3 linked regions of the Mus musculus genome follow. The protein of the gene in region 3 interacts with the protein of the main gene of each other region in a pairwise test. Links are inferred from orthologs where the notes say so. Each region holds a gene or a part of one and is shown on either strand. Other genes may lie near its edges.

Region 1 (4,171 bases), on a different chromosome or scaffold from region 3:
AGGGATTGCTGATGGTGTCCTGCTTATTGCTGGCATTTAGAAGGTATCTGGTTAAAGTTATTGAACTGAAAAAAGAACCCAGAATCTTTTTTTCTTTTTCAAGATTTACTTTATTTACTATATGTAAGTACACTGTAGCTGTCTTCAGACACACCAGAAGAGGGCGTCAGATCTCATTTCAGATGGTTGTGAGCCACCATGTGGTTACTGGGATTTGAATTCAGTACCTCTGTAATAGCAGTCAATGCTCTTAACTGCTGAGCCATCTCTCCAGCCCCAGAATCATTTTTCAAGCACATCCTATATGTAAGCAGAGCAGATATTTGGTTCCTGGACAGGAAAATAAAAATCATGTGACCTACTGGGTCAAAATCTTGGGCTTCAAAATATGCTAATTTCTGGGCTGGAATGGGTGAGGCAGGTAGGTGGATTCCCTTCTAACTCTAGAACTTCTTCCAGAGGCTGGGGGCTGCTATTACACCTTGGCCTCGACTTGAGCTGGGATGAGGGGGGTCTTTACTCTTGCGCAGAGGGCTAGAGACTTCTTGGCTGTTCATTTGGACACACAGTAGTTCCATAGTTTGTAATCAGTTGGTGATAAAATATAATAGGCTCCTGAAATCTATCTCGAGGCTTCAGCCACCCATCGTTTTCCCAAATTGCCACACAGCAGACACTTTCTATGTGTTCAGTAGAGTAAAACACAGAACGCCCAAAATAAAAGCGAATGAGTCCAACAGCGTCCTCTAGTGGTGCTCGGGCACCAAGCAACCTAAAAGAAGCATCGCTGCGTTTCTGCCCATCTGCTGGACTGTACCACTCAGGGAGCGGTCCTCGGAGGACATAAAGTCTATACTGACCCCCCCCCCCCCACTCTCTTTTAGAACGGAGCACTGAACCCACAAAGGCAAAGTGACTTGGCCCAGGATTCTGAGACTTTCTTTAGAGGTGGTAGGTTCACAATTCCATTGCGGAGGTCGCAGAGAGCCCTGCCCCGGAGCTACTTTGCATCAAGAGTATCTCATCTGTGCTTTGGGCGAGTTTGCTCTCAGCGTCCGGGGAGCTGACAGAGGCTGGAGATGAATCCCATCCTGGCTTCTACGAGATGTACCCCGCAAGATGCAGGAACCAAGAGGAGCAGTGCGCTCCACCGACGTAGTCTCTGATCTGCAAGGAGCATGAGTTGCTGAGATACGAGATCGCCAAGCTGGGCACTCGACTGCAGCCTCCAGATATCCACCAAAGGGGTGGGGAGCAGGTCTTTGCAGCTAGAGTCGGTGTGGGTGGAGTGGAGCGTGGGCGGGGCTCGGGAGCTGCAGTTCAGAGAGCGGTGTCCTGCTGGAATCTGCTGGTGCCCCACGCTCCAACCCGAGATGATGGCCAGCAAGCGAGTGGCGAAAGTAAGCCTATGTAGGATGACCCTTTCCTTGTGCCCCTTCCCGCCCTGCCCTAACCTTTCCGCCCTGCCCTAACCCTCCCCTGCCCCCTTGCTCTCTGAGCTTTTTTTGTTATTTGGGTACCAGGGCTGGCTGAAACTCAGGTATCCTCACCTTTTCCCAATGGAGAAATGGGAGGAGAAAGGCGCGGTGTGTGTGTGTGTGTGTGTGTGTGTGTGTGTGTGCGCGCGCGCGCGCGCGAGAAGGAGGGAGAAAGAGAGGAGGAAGGGAGGGGGCCTGATTGAGAAGGTCTGGAAAAAAAAGTTGTCATCAGCTTCAAAAAAAGTTGTCATCAGCTGTACTGGCCACGAGAATGAACTGGTCTTTCCAAATGGTTTCCAATGTATTGGGCTTTCCAAACTGGTTTCATTTTCAATTTCTGCTGGAAATTTATTAGTGGAACTTATCTAAGGCACAGGAAGGGCTCTGTTGCTCCGCCTAGTGGATACACCCATAATTTGATACCTACATTACCCGAGGCCACAGAAGAGTGATGTTGGGCGGTGGGGTGGTGAATGGACAGACCGTGAAATAAAACGTACAGACTAGTTCCTGGATGAGAAGTAACAATTTATGCTCTGAGTAGGTTATTTGTATGCAGTCCTGCTCCAGCTACTAAACGCCTACTTTGTACTAGCCCAGTGCCAGGCAGCAGGAGCAGAAAAGGAACAGAAATCTTGTTCCGTTTGAACGTTCATTTCTATGAGACACTATTTGGTACTATCTGAAAGAATGAAAAAAGGGCAGTTTCCTTAGGAATGTCTAGACCGCTGAATGGAGCCAGGATTAGAGATCGTGGAGGAGAAATGCTCGTGAGCCAGGGCTGGTACCGCTAGGCTTTGAGTCTCCCCGAAGTGCTCCTCTAGTCTGCAGAATTGAGGGGAAGGCTTCCTCAGGAGACAGAAGGGATGGTTGCTGGCCTCATGTTTCTCTCTCTCTCTCTCTCTCTCTCTCTCTCTCTCTCTCTCTCTCTCTCTCTCTCCCTTTCTTTCTTTCTTTCTTTCTTTCTTTCTTTCTTTCTTTCTTTCTTTCTTTCTTTCTTTCTTTCTTTCCTTCTTTCTTTCCGAGACAGGGTTTCCCTGGCTGTCCTGGAACTCACTTTGTAGACCAGGCTGGCCTCGAACTCAGAAATCCGCCTGCCTCTGCCTCCCCAGTGCTGGGATTAAAGGCGTGTGCCACCCAGCTGGCCTCATCTTTCAAAAAGAAAATTCTTTTGAGATGGAGAAGTCCAGAGCAGACCCAAAACAGAACTAAACTTTGTTGGTTTTAGGCTGGTACTAAATGGGGCAAAGGGTAATTTGCTACCTCAACGCTAAAAGGTAGACTGGCTTTTGTTGCTCCGGAATTGTCAGCACCAGGCAGTTTGTTTTATTTAACTCTTAGAACAACTGTGAGATAACTGTGTCTTCCCATTTCATGGAAGAGGAAACTGAGACATCAGGGAGAGTAACGTGGCTGGCCAGTGATATTCTGCAGAAGTAATGGGGCTGGAATTTGAGCCCAGACTGATAAGAGTCTAACTCACAGGGCTTTTCCTGCCTGTTTGCCTTCACTTTCATTTCTCCTAAGTCAGGTGACTTACTAGCTGGCTTTGGGAGGAGCTGTGTGCACTGGTGTGGGTTTCAGCAATCATGGAAAGTTCGTCAGAATTCATCAAAACACAGAAAATTCAAGTGTTAAGAGAGAAAATTTCCCTTCGGTACTTTTTTTTAATACCATTTTGTGTTGTTCAGATTGGTCTTAAACTTGATATGCAGCTAACAATGGCCTTTAATTTTTAAAAAATCATTTAATTTAATTTTATGTGTATGGATGTCCTGCCTGCATATATATCTGTTAACTACCTGCATGCCTAGCAGAAGCAAATGAGAGCATTAGATCTTCTGGAACTGGGGCTAGAGACAGTCATCAGTCACCATGTGGGTGCTGGGAATTGAACCCAAGTCCTCTGGAAGATCAACAAGTGCACCTCCCCACTGAGCCATCTCACCAGCTTAATTTCAGGATTCTTATGCCTCCATCTCATTCCCTAAGACATGGGATCATGGATGTGCACTGCTTTATCAAGTGTTGTACAGTGCTGAGGATTGAACCCAGGGTTTTGTGCACGCTAGACAAACACTCTACCAACTGAGCTGCATCTTCAGCCCAGAAAAATGTCCATTCAAGATCTATGTTATACCTAAGCCTTTGTTCTTGCCCAAGCTATGGCATGGGTTATGCTTGTGGTAAGATAGAATAGGCAATGAATGGTCATGGCTGTAGGTAGAAGGCATGAGAAGCCATTTGTTAGTGTGATTACATATGGAAGATGGGTTTAGTGATGAATGGGAGTGTGGCGTGCTTATATACTTGGGGGTCAGAGTACAGATGATGCACAGCAGTGAAGGACCCCACCCCCAAGCCCCTGGCTTAGGGGAACTTTCTACCTGCATGTACACAGGCCTTTCTCAACTTTCTCTCTGTTGACATTTGGGACCAGATCATTCTCTGTAGCTAGGATGTTTCATCAGCGTGGACTTTACCCGCTGGGTTGTGGCAGCACTCACCCCATCTGTGACAATAGAAAACGTTTCTAGATATTGGCAAAGGCGTCCTGATAGGTAAACACATCCCTGGATCAGAACCACTAGTTTGTATCTATTCATTGTCCCCAGCGTTGCCTTGAATATGTGACTGTTTTTCAAACCACCACCCCCTTCTCAAAATGAGAAGAACTGGAGTCCTGTGGGTGA
Region 2 (2,698 bases), on a different chromosome or scaffold from region 3:
GCAGAGAGGCTGAGCTTGAGCCAATGCCTCTAACTTCTCTATGCCAAGGTAACTTCTGCCTCTTGTCCTTTGAGAGGTGTGTTGTTAAGATTCCCATTATTTTTAAATACCATGTGTATGTGCTTATGTACGTCCATGGTGGCCGATGGCAACGAGCCCCTGTTCTCTGCAACCGCAGTGGGAACCCTTAACTGCTGAGCCACTTCTTCAGTGCCAACCCATTTTTTGAGACAGGGTCTCACATAACCAAGGCTGACTTCGAACTCACTAAGTGGCTGCAGATGACCTTGAAATCCTGACCTTCCTGCCTTCACCTCTCAGGTATTTGATTAGTGAGCCACCATACCTATCTATCTCTGACAGTCCCAGAGAGGGCAGCATACACGTGGTATGATGGTTCTGTCCATTCAAGATGGAAGCCATATGAGATGACTGCTGTCACGGAACCCTGCTGGAATTCCATCTCTCACCTGGAATCATTGAAAGTGTGCCATTCGCCTGTAACCGGACTTCGGCAGTAGGCTGTATAGTGGCCTCCCATGGTGGTTCCGGAGTGATTGGACACAGCATACAGGTTGTAAACAGCATGGTCTGAGGGGGCAGCACAGGGTTAGCATTCCTGCCCAACATCCCCTCCCTTCCTCCCTTTTATTTCCCACTCTCCTCCCCCCGCCCCCACTTATTTCCTTGGTGTGTGTGTGTGTGTGTGTATGTATGTGTGTGTGTTTAGGTCAAAGGGGCATCTTGACAGTCAATTCTCTCCTTCTGTGTGGGTTTTGGGGATCTGTTGCTGGTCATCGGCACTTTGCCTGCTCACATCCTGATCTTTTGATTTTTTTCCTAACTCACTTGCTTCCTGCCCCCTTGCCTCCCTCCTTCCCTCTTCCCTCCTGCTCCAGTATACCCACTGGTGTTTTCTGAAGCAAATTCTCTCAAGTCCAGGTCTCTTAGTGGGAAATTCACAAATGTTGTGAGCTTGCTGGTTCGTATCCTGGATTCTGAGAATCGCTTCAGGTCTGTGATTGCTCTGAGTCAAGGAGAGGAAGCAGGACAGCAAAGACGTCTACAGAGGTTTTTCCTTAAGCTCCTCTCCTCCCCTTTTGGTCCCTTGTCAACAGTCACCCTCCAAAAATCAGCTCCCCACCCTGGGAGTCAAGGATACGGAGCACCAAGATCTTTGGGAACCTCTGGACAGAGAACTTTTTTATGCATCGTTTTCTGGCTCGGCAGCGGCAGCAAGTCTAAAAGACAGATACAAAAGAGGCTAAAAAGAGCTTAAGGCCTGAGGTAGGGAGACTTGGTGGCCCTTCCCCAACCAGGCCCTGTGAAGGTGGCTGTTCTGTCACTGAGGAGTGACTTACTGGCTTCTCATCACCATCCAATATGTCCTCTTTGGTGAAGAGCCTCATACAATCCATTAACGTCACCTCAGGGTAACCTCTCTGCAAAGGAAAAGGGTCCAGGTCAGAGGTCACGACCTCACTGAGCCCCGAGCGCAATGCTGAAGTGGGGACCACAGCTGAGCATACCTTTGCGATGGGCAACGAGAGATCCCAGAAGGGATCGAAGACTGTAGAGCAGTAGCCACAATCGGTGCATGTGAGGGAGCTCTTCAGCTGCCCAACGAAGAGATCTGGGGAGAGAGAGCCAGGCCATGCTCAGCACGCCGAACGCTCGTCTTCCTTTCCCACCCACGCTTGCCTTAGTTTTGAGAGCCACAGGCAGAAGCAGGGTTCCCTGGGAAAAATGATCCCCGTGGCTTCTTGAGCAAAAGTGGGTAACAACAGAAGCAGGTATCTTCTTGTCTATATACTTACCCCCAATCCGACTGTCTTCCCTTTCCAGATACTTCCTCCACATCTGTCGCCCCTTTTCTTCATCACTGGGAACCACAGACAGGAAGACAGGTAGGTCAGGACTCAAACCCTGGAAGTCTTTAAGGGCTCTCATCTTGAGTCTTTATGGATTTACAGACATTGCTGTATGGGGTGCTGCGTCTGGAATCCCTGGCCTCGCTCCTGGTCACACAACCCTCCTGAGCTGTACCTCCCAAGCCACGGTTCTCTTGAGCCAGGATTAACCCAGGCTGGTCTTTAATTCATAATCCTTCCTACCTCAGTCTTTGAATTCTAGGATTACAGGTATCTCCTACCATGCCTGGCTTCAACCTTTTAATCTTCAAAAGCAATCTTAGAGGATGTAACTTAGTGGCAGAGTGCTTGCCCATTGCATACAAGGACCTAGGTACACAGACCCGTGCACAGTACCGAAATAAAAAGTCTGAGCTTAAAAACAAAGCAAATCTGATTCTCCCCGAATCATTACTCCTATAGAAGTAGGCACTAAGGTCAAGTTCACAAAGGCTTTGCCTGAGGCAGGACCTCCTCTTACTTACGGGAGATGATCAAGGGTCTCAGGGCTGGCCTTAGGCCTTGCTGCCACCCGGTTCACCTCATTGTGGAGACCATCCAGAAGGAAACGAAGGAATTCCTGAGCATCCTGCTGACTGAATGCAAACAAAAGTGAGTGGGAGAGCAGCGCCCACCAGACCTCACTTGTGCTGCCAGCCACCTTGGGGAGGGCACGCATGCCAGGCCCTTACTTATAGCCCATGAAGCGTGGCGCATATCTCTGGATCTGGGTCTTGAACTCAGATGGGCTCACCACATCATTGGGGGACGACGTCCATATGGTCTGG
Region 3 (4,273 bases):
GTCGTGGGCAGTGTTGCCATCTTCACTTACTGCTTCCGTTTTCCATCTGTTTTGTTAATAAAATATGTATATTTACTCCCGATATCACAATAAAATAAATTATTTGATCTAAGTCATTCACAGAAGTTTTTGTTTTTTAAAAAACTGAGTAACCCATCCTATGTTTAAGAGTTACAGAGTCCAACTGAAAAATATTGGTCTTCAAGGTGTTGGGCTCCTGAGTATGTGTGTGTGTGTGTGGGGGGGGGGTGTTCTAAGATGACTGTGGACTTGGAGTTGTGGGGTGGACATGGGAGCGGGAAAATAGTCGCCAACCTTGTGGCGGCCAGAGTGGGAGTGGGATGGTGTGTCTGTCTTCATTATGCTCTTGCTCCTCCATCTGTTAACTTTAGTGGGCCTCTTGGGGTACCAGCTCTGTGGGAAGGAATTCTCTGTTCACGCAGACTTCCTGGGAAAGCTATCTGCTTAGAGGCCAGGAAGAGTCCAGCAGGGTCCTGGGAAAGTGAAGGAGTGACCAGTCCTCCAGTTCAGGGGGGAGGGGATGGAGAGGGGTGGATGACGTGGTTGGTGCTAGTCTGGGAGAGTCAGTACCTCTTCTCTTGGCTGAGGAGGTCTCTTGGCTGGTGGAAAAACCTGGCTTGATGTAGCCCCAGGGAAGTGAGCTGGAGGAGGCGGAGACAGCTCTGACGGGAAGCAGAGCGGAGCAGAGCTTTTTTTCTTTGGGAATTTTTAACTCTATTTGAGCCATGTACTTGACACTAACACCACCCTGAGCCATTTTTAAAGGATCTATCCACCTCACGTTCTGCACAGACCAGTGTCCTTACTTGTGGAAAACTAGTCACCAGCCCACTTCTGGTAACAGGCTGCGAGGGTTGGGGGTGGGGGGGGTCACCGGAGGTAACAGTCTGGAAGGAGGCAAGAGTTGAGGGAGGGGATTGAAGTAGTTTAGTCACAGGGTTTATTTTGTAGTACCAATGTTTTCCTTTTTTTTTTTTAAACTTCCCATCCAACATATTCCAGCGTAAGACTTCAAAAAAATTTCCCTCCCCTTCAATCTATATACCCACCGACACTGCTCCCACCCCTACCAGTTCCTAAGAGTGCAACGCAGTTGGCTGGGAAAGAAGTGGGGAGAGGTCTCCTCCGGGAGGGGGAAGCCAAGAGAGTGGCGTTTCTAAGGGATTTAACCTCCTACCCTCGGCTACATGACGCCACCCCTCCCTCCAAAGACTGGAACTGCGCCTCCATTTTTGTTTTGGGGCAGAGGCAGGGGCTCCCGGGTAGGAGGGGGTCAAAGGAAACGGTGATTATCACCCACCAAGGGGAGGGGTGCTCTCCCTTCCTTTCTCTCGGTCTGCACCCCGGCATCCCCTTCCACCTTCTCAGGGTCTCCCCCCCACCCCCCCGCCCCTTGTTGCTAAGGCCCGGACCGTCATCCCAGCAACAGCCTCAGTCATGTGACCGGCAATGGCGGCGCTGACGAGAGGTAGGTGAGCCCGGCGCCCCCACACCCACCGCGTGCCCCCCCAGGCCGGGTCCGCACCCTCACAAGCCCCCCGCTTCCCTCCGCCCCCTCCTCCGCCATTGGACCCCCACGCGCGCGCCGCGGGAGAAGAGGGCGCCCTCGGGGCCCGGGCCCATCATCTTTCCCGCACCTTCAGCCCTGGCCTCCATTTGGGGGTTCTGAGGGCCGCAGTCGGGTGGACACACACCCTCACCAAGCGGCGGGACTCCGGGGCTTCCTCGAGTAGGGATGCGGGAGTTGGTTTCGGGTTGGATGGATCCGGGGGCAGTCTCGGGGAGAAGGGTGGGGGGTGCCTCAGTGGACACCTCCCCAGGGGACCCTTGCCCTTTCTCGCCGTCCCTGCCAGCGGCCGCTGTCTGGAGGAAGAGGCTGGTCTGGTGTCCGGCCTGGTTTGCCCCAGAGGAATGCTAGACCCAGACTAAACTGTGGCCCCGCCTCCCTGTGCCGTGCCAGCAGGACTTGGAGCTAGGACACCTAGATCCTGGGTTCTCTCTGGTGGGGAGGGGGCATTTCACCGTGCACAGACCATGCGGGTTGAGATGCTTAGGTTTTCATCTCAAGGACCCTATGATGGAGGCACAAACGGACAGAGGCTTCTTTTTGGATCACAAGGAATTGAGGTCACATGAATGGCCCCTCTTCCTAATTGAGCTGCACTTTGTGTTGTGGGAAAGGCCCTGGAGCTGGGCTGTGACAGGGCTCAGGGGAAAACCTCGGGTCCCTCTAGCCAAGCTCCTGCTTGATTTGCAGCTGACAGCAGCTCTGCGGGCACTGGGTTTAAAGGTGACAATGAGAACTTTGTTATTGCGGGACTGCTAACACTTTGCTGGCATCCCTAACAGACTTCCGGCTCTCAAGGAAAGGTCTCTGTCAACAACAGGGACTTGAACTATTCGAGAACGTAAAGCGAGGAGTTTAGGAGATATTTCTGTCAGTGTAATCTGAGGGAGGTGGCGTGTACGACCTTCATCCTGTGAGGCCCTTTTTTTTTTTCTCCTTCCTGTCTTTATCTGCATCTAGGATCTCCCTCTGCACTGGGGGGAAAAGAGGAATTAGCCTGATGAAGTTCCTTGAGCAACTTGGAGAGGATTCTGCAGGGGAGGAGAGGAACTAGAAGAGCGTTTTCTGTCTGGGCTGGCTGAGGAAATGCTATCATAACTCTTTACCTTCCTCGTCTCCAGCTCTGGCCAGCTGAAGGTGGAGGTGGAGGGACTTCTGCTACCTTCGTCTCTGTGGTCTTTTCAGGTACCCGTGCCCCAGGAGAACCTCAGCTTTCGGGTTCCTCCTGTATTCCAAGAAATCCCCATTTCCAGTACCCCTACCCCAGGTTCCTGGCCATTTCAAGGGCTCCTGAGTTGGGGCTTTGGGGTTGGGGAATAGTTTTCCTTCCTCCTCCTCCTCCTCCTCCTCCTCCTCCTCCTGTTTTTTTTCTTTTCTTTTCTTTTCTTTTTTTTTTTTTTTTTTGAGACAGGGTTTCTCTGTGTAGCCCTGGCTGTCCTGGAACTCACTTGGTAGACCAGGCTGGCCTCAAACTCAGAAATCCGCCTGCCTCTGCCTCCCAATGCTGGGATTAAAGGCAAGCGCCACCACTGCCCAGCTTTTTTTTTTTTTAAAGATTTATTTATCTATCTATCTATCTATCTATCTATTTATTTATTTATTTATTATAAGTACACTTTTGTTGTCTTCAGACACACCAGAAGAGGGCATCAGATCCCATTACAGATGGTTGTGAGCCACCATGTAGTTGCTGGGATTTGAACTCAGGACCTCTAGAAGTGTAGTCAGTGCTCTTAACCACCGAGCTATCTCTCCAGCCCCCTTACTTTCTTTTCTTTCCCATTCCACCAGGCCACAGGATCTCCAGGTATCAGGGGGAAAGGAGAGTGAGCCTGCATGCCAATTCTAAGCTCCTCCGGATCAAAGTGAGCAAAGCAAACGGAGGTGGGATGGGGTGGGGTAGGGGTGGGGAGCCTCCTTCCCTTGGAGGAACCTTTTTTTTTTTCCATCTTGGGGAGAAGGGGCAGGTTGTTGTGCTCAGGGGAGAAATGAAAGAAGCAAGCAGGGCTGGTGCTTGGCTTAGATAACGATGAAATATGGAAACCTGTGCCCAGAGGGTGCTGGGCTATGGGACAGAAGTGGAGATAGAAAACCAACCGGTTTGTGGGCAGTGTTGGGGGTTGGCTTTGAGGGAAACAGAGGTAACACAGGGGGTTCAGAAGGAGCCTGAAGTAAGAGGCACATTTATCTGTCAAATGGGGACTCCCCACTCTGAGTCCCTTTCACCCTGGGGGCAGTGTCGTTCGTCCTGTCCAGAATGGCAGCCTGTGGAGGCTCCTGCAAGAACAAAGTGACTGTCTCCAAGCCTGTGTGGGACTTCCTGAGCAAGGAGACCCCAGCCCGGCTGGCCCGGCTTCGGGAGGAGCATCGGGTGTCCATCCTCATAGATGGCGAGACTTCTGACATCTACGTGCTCCAGCTGTCCCCACAGGGTCCTCCCCCAGCCCCTCCCAATGGGCTCTACCTGGCCAGGAAGGCTCTCAAGGGGCTACTGAAAGAGGCAGAGAAAGAGCTAAAGAAAGCCCAGAGGCAGGGGGAGCTCATGGGCTGCCTGGCTTTGGGGGGTGGAGGGGAACACCCCGAGCTGCACCGCCCAGGCCCTCCTCCCCTCCGAGCAGCCCCACTCCTGCCCCCAGGGGCAAGAGGGCTACCCCCTCCTCCTCCTCCCCTGCCCCCTCCACTCCC

What was found.
Region 1: the proteins of Dtx3 (region 3) and Ube2l6 interact in binary tests that used the Homo sapiens proteins (3 or more experiments, as listed by UniProt). The link is inferred for Mus musculus from reciprocal best matches to the Homo sapiens genes DTX3 and UBE2L6.
Region 2: the proteins of Dtx3 (region 3) and Usp2 interact in binary tests that used the Homo sapiens proteins (3 or more experiments, as listed by UniProt). The link is inferred for Mus musculus from reciprocal best matches to the Homo sapiens genes DTX3 and USP2.

What each region holds. Positions count from the first base shown.
Region 1 is NC_000068.7:84,797,533-84,801,703, forward strand, and holds the start of Ube2l6 (ubiquitin/ISG15-conjugating enzyme E2 L6), read left to right. Parts: upstream 1-1,295; 5' UTR 1,296-1,373; coding exon 1,374-1,400; intron 1,401-4,171. UniProt on the Homo sapiens protein: Catalyzes the covalent attachment of ubiquitin or ISG15 to other proteins. Functions in the E6/E6-AP-induced ubiquitination of p53/TP53. Promotes ubiquitination and subsequent proteasomal degradation of FLT3.
Region 2 is NC_000075.6:44,091,020-44,093,717, reverse strand, and holds part of Usp2 (ubiquitin carboxyl-terminal hydrolase 2), read right to left. Parts: coding exon 2,603-2,698; intron 2,507-2,602; coding exon 2,396-2,506; intron 1,883-2,395; coding exon 1,818-1,882; intron 1,634-1,817; coding exon 1,530-1,633; intron 1,443-1,529; coding exon 1,362-1,442; intron 1,242-1,361; coding exon 1,163-1,241; intron 1,017-1,162; coding exon 909-1,016; intron 592-908; coding exon 471-591; intron 1-470. UniProt on the Homo sapiens protein: Hydrolase that deubiquitinates polyubiquitinated target proteins such as MDM2, MDM4 and CCND1. Isoform 1 and isoform 4 possess both ubiquitin-specific peptidase and isopeptidase activities.
Region 3 is NC_000076.6:127,192,910-127,197,182, reverse strand, and holds the start of Dtx3 (probable E3 ubiquitin-protein ligase DTX3), read left to right. Parts: upstream 1-1,473; 5' UTR 1,474-1,489; intron 1,490-1,615; exon of another isoform or gene 1,616-2,311; intron 2,312-2,375; exon of another isoform or gene 2,376-2,501; intron 2,502-2,548; 5' UTR 2,549-2,773; intron 2,774-3,379; 5' UTR 3,380-3,424; coding exon of another isoform or gene 3,425-3,452; coding exon 3,453-3,453; intron 3,454-3,825; coding exon 3,826-4,273. UniProt on the Homo sapiens protein: Regulator of Notch signaling, a signaling pathway involved in cell-cell communications that regulates a broad spectrum of cell-fate determinations.